Danio rerio: one gene and its partners. The protein of the gene in region 2 purifies or fractionates together with the protein of the main gene of each other region. This does not show direct contact. Links are inferred from orthologs where the notes say so. Each region holds a gene or a part of one and is shown on either strand. Other genes may lie near its edges. The genes, in order: vps51, vps50 and vps52.

Region 1 (4,242 bases), on a different chromosome or scaffold from region 2:
CAAGGTCTTTGATGTGTTGAATCTTGAGAAAAATGATGAAAATAAATTTAATGACTAAATATTGTCTATGTTGTCTTATACTAGCTTTTTTGGTAAAATTTGTTTTAATTATGCAATAATATTGTATTAATTGTCATAAATTGTTTATAAAAAACAATTGGTAACATTATCAAAGTGAAGCCAAAATTTCCCATCTATGGCTGCTGTCATCTTTTGATTTGAGCAATGAAGTATGCTTAATTTGGAGCCGAAGTCTGCGCAGAATTGATCTTAAAGGTCCTGTGAAGTGCTTTGAAATATGCATTTTTATTAGATGTTTGACGTAACCTTTACTGAAACACGAAGAGAGGGTGGGACTTAGTTTAGCTCCTCCCCTTTTTGTTTTTTCAGCTCTGCCTGTGAGAGTGGTTGAGCTCAAGTGCATCAAATGAAAAGTGTCTTGAAGGGGGCGGGGCTTGTCAGATACTAGAGAGCATTTGATTGGTCAGAAGATTTGATAAGTAACTAAAAGTATGTGGTGACATGAAGAAAGGGGTCTGGCAGACTCGGTGAAGATGCAATCTGAGCTGCATCCAATGCTTTTTAATGCGCTCACCCAACCCTACCCCTCACAGTGGTCACTAGTTCCGTTAAGTGCATTGTGTCTGACATTGCATCTCTGAGCGATGCACTTTCAACTTGCATCATGAAGGCTGCATTCAGATACTAATGGATGTGAATAAAACTGTTTATCTGTTTAGGCGGAGGAGACAAACTGCAAGCTTTGGATGTTTTTGGATCTTCTAAATGCTGATTTTGTCACTGTTTTAAAGAGCCCTAGCTTATAGATATCCTTAAGACTAACACACTGATAATAACATCTAAAAAACTTTTTTTTTTTTTTTATGGGGCCTTTAAATGGGGTATGTAGGTGGCAGCAAATTCTAAACTCCCAGACCCCCAAACACAAGCACACCACACCTCTCTTTATAGCATCAAATAACCTAAGTAAAAAAGCACTCTTACTAAAATAAATATTTTATCACACGTTAGAATAATACAAACCGAATATAAAAAGGTGGATATATATATATATATATATATATATATATATATATATATATATATATATATATATATATATATATATATATATATATATATATATATATATATATATATATATACATACAGTTGGTGAAGATGCAGCCTAGTTCGCGCCCCCGGACTTTTACTTTGAAATACTATCTACAGTAGCGCCATTTTGGCTCAAAGCCCTAGCCTCATCAACAAACTGAGTTGGCAGGTAGCAACCACAGCTCTTGCAACAGATGTTTTGTTGACATCTGTCATTCATTCATTTAATAATTCTCGCTTTGACACCAGACTATAGTTAATAGTTGAAATGAGCTCAGCCACAACACCACCGGACTCGGACCCGGCCCAGCGGCGGCGGGTTCACAGTATGCTGAAGCTCTACTACGGCCTGAATGAGGAAGGAAAAGCCACAGAACAAGCCGAGTCTCTGGATCCTTGCGATATCAACGGACCGCATTTCGACCCAGAGATTTATTTAAATAAGGTAGAGTAGCTAATAGTGACGAATGTCCTGGCTTTAATATTTAGTTTTTAGGGTCACCAAATTGAGAGTGCTGTCATTATGTGCCACATATGCAATATTCTTCCAGTAATATATAGGCTAATATAGGCTAAATGTCCCGTTGTTTGACTTAAAAAATGTGCTTTTTGTGTTTCAGTTGAGGAAGGAGTGTTCTCTGACTGAGCTGATGGACCACGAGAGCTGCATGGTCAAGCAGATCAGATCTCTGGACAGTGACATGCAAACCCTGGTTTATGAAAACTACAACAAGTTCATCTCAGCCACAGGTTAACAAATGACCTTTAAAATACAAAAAAAAAAAAAAAAAAAAAAACAGACATTAAGGAATTTCAGATTTTACTAAGTCATAGTTGTGCCTGTAGAAATCAGAACTGCTATAAGAATGTAATTATATATGAGCAATTCCTGCGTTATGAATGTGACATTTGCAGTAAAAACATACATTCACATAGAAAGTATATGTTAACATTATTTTGAAACATCTGTTTATATTTTCTAGAACAACTAACCACAGAGTTAAGGGACTAGAAAAATATCAATCTGTAAACAAGTTTTGTATTTTAAATAAGGAAAATAAACATGCGTGATGAATGTGACCATAAAGACTGTGAGTTTGCAGTATACAACATACTTTGTAGAAATTCTGTTAATTAAACTGCACAACCCAGAAGAAATAATGCTAATCAAAAGGCTCACAGATGGCTCTCTATAGAACAAAAATAATTGACTTTATTTTACTTGTCATTTTTGCATTTCTGAGGAAGAGGTGTCGTTATGGATGTGACATCTCTTTGTTATGGATGTGACTGATGTGAAATTTTCACTTGTGTGACTTTGGTAAATCAAATATAATAGTTTGAAAACATTGACAGGGACATTTTTGAGTATTTTTGCAGTACTGTAAAATACAAGCCTACACAAAAAAACGTAAAAACAACTTCCATGTTTTGGTGAAAACCTTTTTTTTTCATGACAAGGTTAACATTTGCATGGAATTGCTCATATAAAACCACAGTTTGTGTTTTTAACTTAAAAATCATAGCACACCTAAATGCAAAACTTAAATTAAAAAGCGTTATCCAGAACATATAGGATATTCTGGGCCATGAAGGATCTATCAGTTATATCATCTTTACTCTGGGAAACAATATAAGCATTTGATGGCTACATTTAAAGAAGCATTTGAATTTAGACAGCCTTTGATGGTGCACTTATATGGGCATTTATATGTGGCCTTCAAAGAAATAATTCTCTGAGATGCAGTTACTATCAGAATGGCTGCCTTATAGTTCATTTAATGGTGTCATTCATTTTTGTTTGGACATTGATGCATCATACGAGTTTCATAGCCTTTTCCAGTTCATGTTAAAATGTATTGATTATTCCTCAGACACAATCAGAAAAATGAAGAATGACTTTAAGAAGATGGAGGATGAAATGGACTGCCTGTCTGCAAACATGGCAGCTATCACGGAGTTTAGTGCTCGCATTAGCGGGACGCTGCAGGATCAGCATGCACAGATCACTAAATTATCAGGTATAAATAATAAATTATCCATTTCTGATTCATTTTACAGCTTTCAATTGGTAGTAGAACAATCGTTATTACTGAACATTATTTCATTTCTGTCTCAACTTCAAGTCTCAAAAATCAACTCCTGAATCTTTCACCTTTTGTGTAGGTGTTCATACTCTTCTCCGTAAACTGCAGTTCCTGTTCGAGCTGCCAGCAAGGCTCAATAAGTGTCTGGAGCTGCAGGCCTATGCCCAGGCAGTGAGCTCCCATCGGAGGGCACGCTGTGTATTGCAGCAGTACAGTCATATGCCCTCTTTTAGGGGCATCCAAGATGACTGCCATGTCATTATGGAGCAGCTCGCTCAACAACTGCGACAGAAATTCAGGTCTGTGCTGTGAAGCATGTCGTGGTATATTTGGCATATGCAGTAGAATTTCATCCTAATTAAAAATAGATTTTATAGAGTAATTAAGGAACCTTTTAACACATACAAAGATAATAAGATATAGAATAGATATACATTTCTTTGAGTACATTATATTGCATAACTGCAGATTAAATATGTATATGCTTGGCACAGCTATACTTTCCACCTTACGCACACCTTAACATTTTATGGTTTTGATTGTAATCTTACAACGTGCACCTTTTGTAAAGCTGCTTTGGAACAATAATTATTGTGCAAAGCACTTATAAAATGGAATGCGTATTACATGTACACTCATTTGGCAACCAAAATAATAGGACCATATGTGCACAGGTGTGCCTGGTTTCTTTACAAATTGATATTGCCATCTTCTGGCCAAGCATAAATACAGTTTTTTTTGTCTTTCTCAGATCTCTGTGAATGAAAACCTTCACTAAATTATTGAAACAAGCCTCTTCTGCCAGATATTATATAAAGAACAAGATGAAATGGATGAAGCAGTGTTGTTATTACTAAAACAAATTTATTAGAAGTTTATTATAAATTAGAAGTCATTGTTGTTAAATGATATAATGCTTAAATAAAGTTTAAATGGGAAAGGGTGGGACATAGTGTAGCTCCTCCCCTTTTTTAAAAACAGCCAATAGTGTTTTGTTTGATCACCGCTCTGCCATTGAGAGTGGTTGAGCTCAAGTGCA
Region 2 (4,448 bases):
TAGGTGTGTTGGAGCAGGGTTGGAACTAAACTGTGCAGGGCTTCGGCCCTCCAGGAATTGAGTTTGACACCCCTGTTCTAAACCTTGGTGGTAAACATAATCCTGGTTTCTTATTTCACGTTTCACACTGCTTAAACTTTCATCAGCATTAAAAGAATATCATGAATATTCATAAGCTGATGTTTCACATGGTACATTCCCGTAAACCTGGGTCTAGTCCTTTTATTTGCATATTTGAGGTGTCAAATATGCAGTATGTGTGGTCATGATGTAAACATAATCGCATCATATTCAAGTGGTATCGACGAATAGCAACTTTTTATTTTACATTGGTCATAAACAATGTAACTACAGAAGAGTCTTTAAATAGGAAATGTAGATTCCTATAACCCAGGGTTAAGACCCTTTATTTACATATTTAAGGTGTCGAGTTCATTGATTGGATGAACATTTATATATTGACCACACATGGAACTTTAGATAACCAAATATAATCAAGCTTTCAAAAAGCTTATTATAAATAAAAAAACAGTTCATATGATAAGAATGTTAGCATGTTTATTGTTCGTCCTTGCCTTCGACTTGGTACAGCTGAATATTATTACACAGTTTAGTAACCACAAACAAAGCAACACATTCCAGCAAGCAAAATACAGTATGTTCTGTATTTCAGACATATTTTTCTGACATCTGAAATAAATAGTTTCTAGCAAGAAGGTTTATATGTTTTTTTTTGTTTGTTTTATTACAGTCTCTTCCTATTATCATTACTATTAACAAAGAAGTAATCACATTCCTGCACAAATGTGTTTCATGAAAAAGGACAACAGTAGCACACCTCTGGGGTTAGAGATAAGTGTCATAAATTATAAAATCAACATATAAAGAAATAAGTGTTTGTGTATCAGGGTGAGACTAGTGACGCACAGCAAGTGAAATGAGCGACTGTGTTTGTGAATATTTATGCACATGCATTTTGTGTCCAACTGTGTATAAAAGTAACACTCCACTTTTTTGGGGGGGAAATATTCTTATTTTACAAGCCATTTGAGATTTAAATAAATTAGTTTATTAATTTTTTTATTCATTCTGCCGATCTCCGGGTCTGGCTAGAGCACTTTTAGCTTAGCTTGGCATAAATCATTAAATGAGATTAGAGCATTAGCATCTAATTTGTGCATTTGAAAAGTGCGTTAGTGCTGTAGCAGTATTATGCAGCGTTGTTTGCTAGTCACCAAGCTCGGGACTTTTATCAGGCGCGGTGTAAAAATCGTTGCTTTATGGCAGCTAACTTCCTTGATTATTTAACCAAATGAGTATTGTGCCTAGCCATTTCAACTAAGAAGATAGCAACTATTTAATTTCCGTTGGTCTTAGTAAACGATGTAACTACAGAAAAGTCAAGCTTTAAATAGGAAATTTATCAAAACACTTTTTTTTAATTCTTTGAGTAAGATGCTAATGCAGAGGTGGCCAACCCTTTTCCTGAAGAGCCACCTTCCTGCAGATTTTAGTTGCTACCCATGCAACCTGAACCAATTAATTAGGATCTGAACACCACGTGATAATTACAGGCAGGTGGGTTTAATATGGGTAACAACTGAAATCTGCAGGAAGGTGGCTCTCCAGGAACAGGGTTGGCCACCCCTGTGCTAATGGATAACGTGATTCAATTATTTATGCTAAGCTAAGCTAAAAGTGCTCAAGCCAGACCCTGAGAATCAAAACTAGTAAAACTCAATAATAGTAAAGCATGTCACTACAGTAAAGTCAAGCTTTAAATAAGACATTAATCAAAACTCCTTTTTGAATTATTTGAGCGAGATGCTAATGGTCTAATCTGATTCAATGATGTAAGCTAAGCTAAGCTAAAAGTGCCCCCAACAGACCTGGAGACTCATAAATGGTAAAACGCAAAGTTTTGATCTTAGTTGTAAAGAATGTAACTACAAAAAAGTCAAGTTTTAAATAAGAAATTTATCAAAACTCCTTTTTGAATTTTTGAGCAAAATACTAATGGTCTAATCTGATTCAATGATGTAAGCTAAGCTAAGCTAAAAGTGCTCCAGTCAGACCCGAAGACTCAAAAATAGAAAAACTGAAAGTTTTGATCTTAGTAGTAAAGAATGTAACTACAGAAAAGGCAAGTTTAAATTAGGAAATTTATCAAAAATCCTTTTTGAATTATTGAGGTGAGATGCTAGTGGTGTAATCTGATTCAGTGATTTATGCTAAGCTAAACTAACAGTGCTCCCGAGAGATCCGGAGATTGGCTGAATGGATTCAAAAATGGCAAAACCACTTCCAAAAAAAGTGGAGTGTTCTTTGAAAAGGATAGTTCAGTCAAAAATGTGAAATCCAAAACTTAGTAAGTTACTCTTTAAAACTGTGCTGTAAAATGGTAGCTATTAACACCCAATGAAATAGATGTCAATGGCTACCAGTTACAAATATTTTCCAGAATATCTACTTTTGTGTTCAACAGTACAAAGTGACCCATACAAGTTTGGAATAAGTGGAAGATGATTAAATGACAACATTTTCATTTTTGAGTGTACTGTCCCTTTAAAGGACGTCTTTATACCATATTAAAAAGCCTCATGCTACAAAACCCTCATATATTCCTCAACAAGGAAAAATTCAGCTGCTCATCCACAGCTCTGCTTAAATTAGGGTTTAACAGCGCCTGAGACATTCACTCATGTTGTGATTCAAGTGATGCTGATAACACTTTCATTACCCATTATCTTTTACAGCCGCTTCATATGTAGTCACAGCACGTCCTGCTTACATTCCTAACAAAACGCAAACAGAAACCGTAAACGTTTTCATGGTTGACAAACAAACTGCAGACCACGCAAGACAGATACGGGACGCGTAACAGTGTAGGTGTGTGTGACTTTTGTGGTGTATTTTTGATGACAGTGATTTATCTTTTGGGCCGGTCAATGTCATCAATGGCTGCGAGGAGTTTCTGTCGTGCTTTCTTGTTGATGTGGGACCCGAGGCAGACGTTGACCAGGTTAGTCAGCTGCTTCATCGAGTACTCCTGGGTAAATACAAAACAAACTGGTGATAAATCGAGCGGAGATGACAGTCATAACCATACATCTCTTTAATGGAGAATTAAAGCCAGTCTTGCAGGATATGCCTTACTAAGCAACATCACAAGCACATTTGGAGCCAAGCCAGCGTTTGTCTTGACATTTAAAAGGCAAACATTTAGTGATGCGTCATTTATAAAATATGCTAATGCTTCATTAGAATATGAGATTCGATTTTTACAGTATATGCAAGAATGTTTGATCCGAACATTAGCATAAAAAGGTTTGACAAGGCACTTCTAAGAAAAGAATAAAATGTGATTTTGTTTAAACGAATTATTATAAGCTACCCTTCATTTGCATTATTTTTAAATTATTATTTAAATTTTTTTTAAATTGCATTCACCATTTTTAATTATTATCCCTTTTTATTTTAGTTTTTAATATTGTCTTATTAAATTTTTTATATTAAAAAATAGGTAAAAGATGCTTCCCAGTGCTGGGTTGCAGCTAGAAGGCCATCCGCTGTGTAAAACATATGCTGGATAAGTTGGTGGTAAAATTTTTTTACTTAGAAATATGTTTGTTTTGAAACATTAGAAAAATAGAACAAAATATTACAAACCAAGAATATGTGAAAAAATAGCAATAGCAAAAATAGCTGTCATGTGTCATCCATCTTACCCTGTGGTTCTTGATAAACTGCTCCATGTCGTTTTCAGTCAGGTAGTATGCTTTGATGTAGGTCTCCACAAACTCCTTGTCAGGAATGGGTCTGAGGTCGGTGAGCTTCTCCAGCTTCATGAGGAACTGCTGGAAGTCCAGCTGCATCAGCGCTCGTCCTTCATTACTGCACTTCTTCACATTAGCATAGCTGGCAGACAGCAGGAGAAGAGCAGAGGTGAGTGCTGAGCCATTCATTACCTGTTGACAGTTTACGCTTCATTAACTGTAGACAGCGTCCCCAACAGCAATTCCAGGTGATGAGTCTTACACGGTGCGTGTAACTCTCCGGTTAACAGTTAACCTCGTGCCCTGCTGCTAATCAAACCTGAAACCTCACTGACCGTTAAACCACCAGAATGAAAATTAATAGACCTATAAATATATAAAACAATTAACAATGCAGTGGCCAGTTAGAAATAATTTATGACAAGGCTGGGATTAGTATTTTTGTTTCTAGATAGACATATTTATGGAACTAAAAATAGAAAGGCAGAATGACAGAACTGTAGATTATCTAGACAGACAGGCAGGGGGGGTGGGCGGGCGTGCAGACACAGACAGACAGATAGATAGATAGATAGACAGACAGACAGATAGATAGATAGAATTAAGGAACAATGGAACAAGAATGGAACGACAGACAGATAGAATTAAGGAACGATGGAACAACAGACAGAC
Region 3 (3,654 bases), about 22 Mb from region 2:
TCAACTGTGCAGGAACAGCTGATTGTGACAATTACAAACTCCAGGAAATAGCGAGCTCAGGTGTGTGAGTAATTTTTAGATGTATATGCACGTGTTTTATGTATGCATTAATAAGTGAAGTTATTTAAATTGTACAGCCACTTGATATTATAATCTTGCATATTACATTAGCTTCATCATACATGCACATTATAAGACTACACAATATCATATTTTATACACACAGTAGCCTCCTTGTGTTTAAATTCATGACACTTTCAAGGCAAATAGTTTTTAGCAGAGAATTGACTATTAATTATTAGAATTAATTATTTAATGCTAAATATGTTTCTATTCATTTTATGAAGATCTGAGTTGATACTTTGTAAGTGTCTTAGTTACTTGGTAAGTGTCTCCGTTACAATTCTGAATACATAATTTATGCATTCAGATATTGTCCTGGGATTTAAACCTGTACAAAATGACTTCCATGGACATTTTTTTCTTCAAATTTACAATTTTTTTAGATTTTGAAAACCTTTTGCTATCTTAAACCAATTTCACCTGGACTTTCAGCAGTCTGCCACTATATGACTTGAAGTAACTTAAGTAGATTTTGCTCATGGTATCCACATACTCGTCCCGGATCTCTTTTGCAACTGTTCTCTCATTGGCTAACAGGAACTGGTAGAAAAACCTATAAATGATCAGAAACAGACATATTTAGGGGGGTGTAACATATTGTATTGATAAAATATCTATAAATTAATTATTTAAGAATTTAATTTAATAGAGTTAATAATTGCTATTCACCAGGACAAATTTTACTAATAACCCCTGTTGCTTGTTCTGATGTAACCAAAGTCTTTGTTTGGTTTAGTTTAAAGGAGTGTGTTTTGTACCTGTACTTGAGTAATGTGTTCTGGGGGATCTGGTAGTTGGTCATTGGCTTTCTAAAAGAGTAAATTTTCTGTAGGATGAACTCCCGGATCTTTGTGACAGCCTGTGATCAAAATTAAAAATTAAAAAACTGCAACACAAACCTAAATTTTGTATTCTTGTATTCCTATTAAAGTGTTTCTCAATTGGTTTTTTGTGACTTAAAATGGGTCACAAATCCATTTTGAGTAGGTCATGGAGTGATTTGGTAATGCACTTTTTGATTTTTGAAGATGTGTGAAGCTGTTCATGCTTCTGTAAGAAAGGCCCAAGTGCTTGAAAAAAACATTCTCACAGTTCACTGTCTGCGGTTGCTGAAAAAATGTTGAAAAGCAGTGTCAAAGTTCTAATGTTATTTTTATTACTTGTTATGATATAAAATATCTCTCAACTCAGAAAAACTAATATTTCTGGGATGCCAGCTGTTATCCTGTACTAACCAATGCTGAGCATTTCCATACCTTTTATAGTTTAGGTTGGTTTTATAAATGTAATATGTTATGTGTTTTTCAATTTATTTATTAGTTTTGTTATATTTATTAACAATTGTAGTTTGGGCCAGCGAATCTTTCAGTTGATATGCATGTTAACTAAAATGGAGTATTTGTTTGCTAATCATTTTTTGTAAATTACATTTGCTAGAATATAAAAGAGAGATAGAGAGAGAGAGAGAGAGAGAGAGAGAGAGAGAGAGAGAGAGAGAGAGAGAGAGAAAATGTAGGTCACATCTTAATGAACATAGAAAAATATGGGTCACATGGCCAAACCAGTTGAGAAGCACAGATTTACTTTATGAGGATGATCAAAATACTTTATCAATGAAATTTGGATTTGCTCTCACTTTGATTTTGAGGCGATCTACAATGTCCTGTATATCTGAGCAAGCAAGGGTCTCTCTGAAGCTGAGCTCTTTAGCAAAGTTGATTTTGTTATTAAGCTCATGAAGTTGCTCTAAAAATTCCTGTTCCGTTACAGGACTGTCAAGAATCACACTGCAACACACACAGTTCTTCATTCAGTAATTTCAAAAGGTAAAGCATGTCCCAATAATTACATGCTAAATATGTTTTCTTACGAGATCATAGTGCTAGGGACGACTAGTTCATCCACCAGCTGGCTGAGCTGACTGCGGACAGCCTGGCGGTTCTTGAGTCTCATATTCATGCTGACTGACTGTTGCTGCAATGTCTGAATTTCACTGCTGATGGAAGACAGGTCACTCTGGAAACTGCTCAGCATGCCCTCCATACGCTAGACACAAAAAAGAATTAGCACTTTAGCAGTTCAATGTCAAGCAGCACCAATGCTAAACACGAACTGTAATGCAGGCAATGTCAAATTGTAGCTTCTCATATGCATGCCATTACAAAGATTCCTTGATTCTCTGTCCATATAATTTCACCAGTAACTTCACACACACACACTCACACACACGCACGCACGCACGCACGCACACACACACACACACACACGGTTGGGCAATGAAACTGAAACACCTGGTTATAGCATAATGCAAGGCCTCCTTTTGTAGCCAATACAGCAATAATTCCTCTCAGGAATTAGATACAATTTCTGCACAGTGGCCAGAGGGATTTAGAGACATTTGTCTCTAAATAAGTAATATTTCGATCAGGTGACTGTGCAGGCCATGGGTGAAATTCAACTTCACTTTCATGTCTATCAAACCACTCTGTCACCAGTCTTGCTGTGTATACTGGAGTATTATCATCCTCATACACGGGGCTGCCTTCAAAATACAATGTTTGAACCTTTCTCCAGAACGGTTCAGTAGTCTTTGGTAGTCTTTTCGCCCATCTAGCACAAGCAGTTAGCCTAGGTAATGCTATAAAGTTGTAGCCCAAACCATTACCAATCCACACTCATGCTTCATTCTAGGCATACAACAGTCTGGGTGGTACGGTTTTTGGGGGCTTGTCCACACCATAACTCTCAAGATTTACACTGCTGGCACCATTGAAATTTACGCTTAGGATTGGCACATGTGACCAAAGGTTTACTTATAACAGCCTGGCCATGTCTATTGACCCTGTGGAGCTCCTGACGAACAGTTTTGGTGGAAACAGGAGAGTTGAGGTGCACATTTATTTCTGCAATGAGTTGGGCAGCTGTGGTTTTATGTTTTTTGATACAATTTGCGTTAGCACCTTGGCATCCCTTTCAGACAGCTTCCTCGTTCACAGTTACTGCTGGGGGTTATCATTCTTGGTGGTATGCTGACATAACCCTGGATACTTTGGCTCTTGATACATCACAAACTGTTTTGGTGACAGATGCGGAGCAACTGTGGGGCATTGGATCCACACAGACCAAAGGGTGAGCACCCCTAACACAACTTCCAAAAGCAACCTAGTTTTTCCTGTGTGCTCTCCCATCCAGGTACTAACCAGGCTCAACCGTGCTATTAACTTAAGTAAAGAAGCAACCAAGTCATCAACCAAGGCTATTTTCATGGCAAGAACATTTCAATAATAAATATACAATTAAAAACAACAAACAAATGAATGCATAAATTAAATAGGATTTTGTTATGTGTAAATACATACATTTTTTTAATGTACTGATGTTACTTTGTTAAAAATATCCTTAAGAAAGTTCATTTCATAAAAAAGCCTTCTGTAATCATTAAAAGCAGGATAGTTTATTTCAAATACAACATCTGGTAAAATCACTTGATCAAATCTAGTCTCAAAATGTCTTAAATCTGTGATAAAACTG

The links.
Region 1: the proteins of vps50 (region 2) and vps51 purify together in Homo sapiens (affinity purification with mass spectrometry; 7 studies listed by BioGRID and IntAct, counting the BioPlex papers as one, with this or other methods). This does not show direct contact. The link is inferred for Danio rerio from reciprocal best matches to the Homo sapiens genes VPS50 and VPS51.
Region 3: the proteins of vps50 (region 2) and vps52 purify together in Homo sapiens (affinity purification with mass spectrometry; 4 studies listed by BioGRID and IntAct, counting the BioPlex papers as one, with this or other methods). This does not show direct contact. The link is inferred for Danio rerio from reciprocal best matches to the Homo sapiens genes VPS50 and VPS52.

What each region holds. Positions count from the first base shown.
Region 1 is NC_133185.1:31,878,336-31,882,577, forward strand, and holds the start of vps51 (vacuolar protein sorting-associated protein 51 homolog), read left to right. Parts: upstream 1-1,384; coding exon 1,385-1,561; intron 1,562-1,736; coding exon 1,737-1,866; intron 1,867-2,990; coding exon 2,991-3,137; intron 3,138-3,282; coding exon 3,283-3,502; intron 3,503-4,242. UniProt on the Homo sapiens protein: Acts as a component of the GARP complex that is involved in retrograde transport from early and late endosomes to the trans-Golgi network (TGN).
Region 2 is NC_133194.1:43,312,743-43,317,190, reverse strand, and holds the end of vps50 (syndetin), read right to left. Parts: intron 3,919-4,448; coding exon 3,729-3,918; intron 3,050-3,728; coding exon 2,930-3,049; 3' UTR 539-2,929; downstream 1-538.
Region 3 is NC_133194.1:20,885,947-20,889,600, reverse strand, and holds part of vps52 (vacuolar protein sorting-associated protein 52 homolog), read right to left. Parts: intron 2,170-3,654; coding exon 1,994-2,169; intron 1,911-1,993; coding exon 1,760-1,910; intron 983-1,759; coding exon 882-982; intron 677-881; coding exon 544-676; intron 1-543. UniProt on the Homo sapiens protein: Acts as a component of the GARP complex that is involved in retrograde transport from early and late endosomes to the trans-Golgi network (TGN).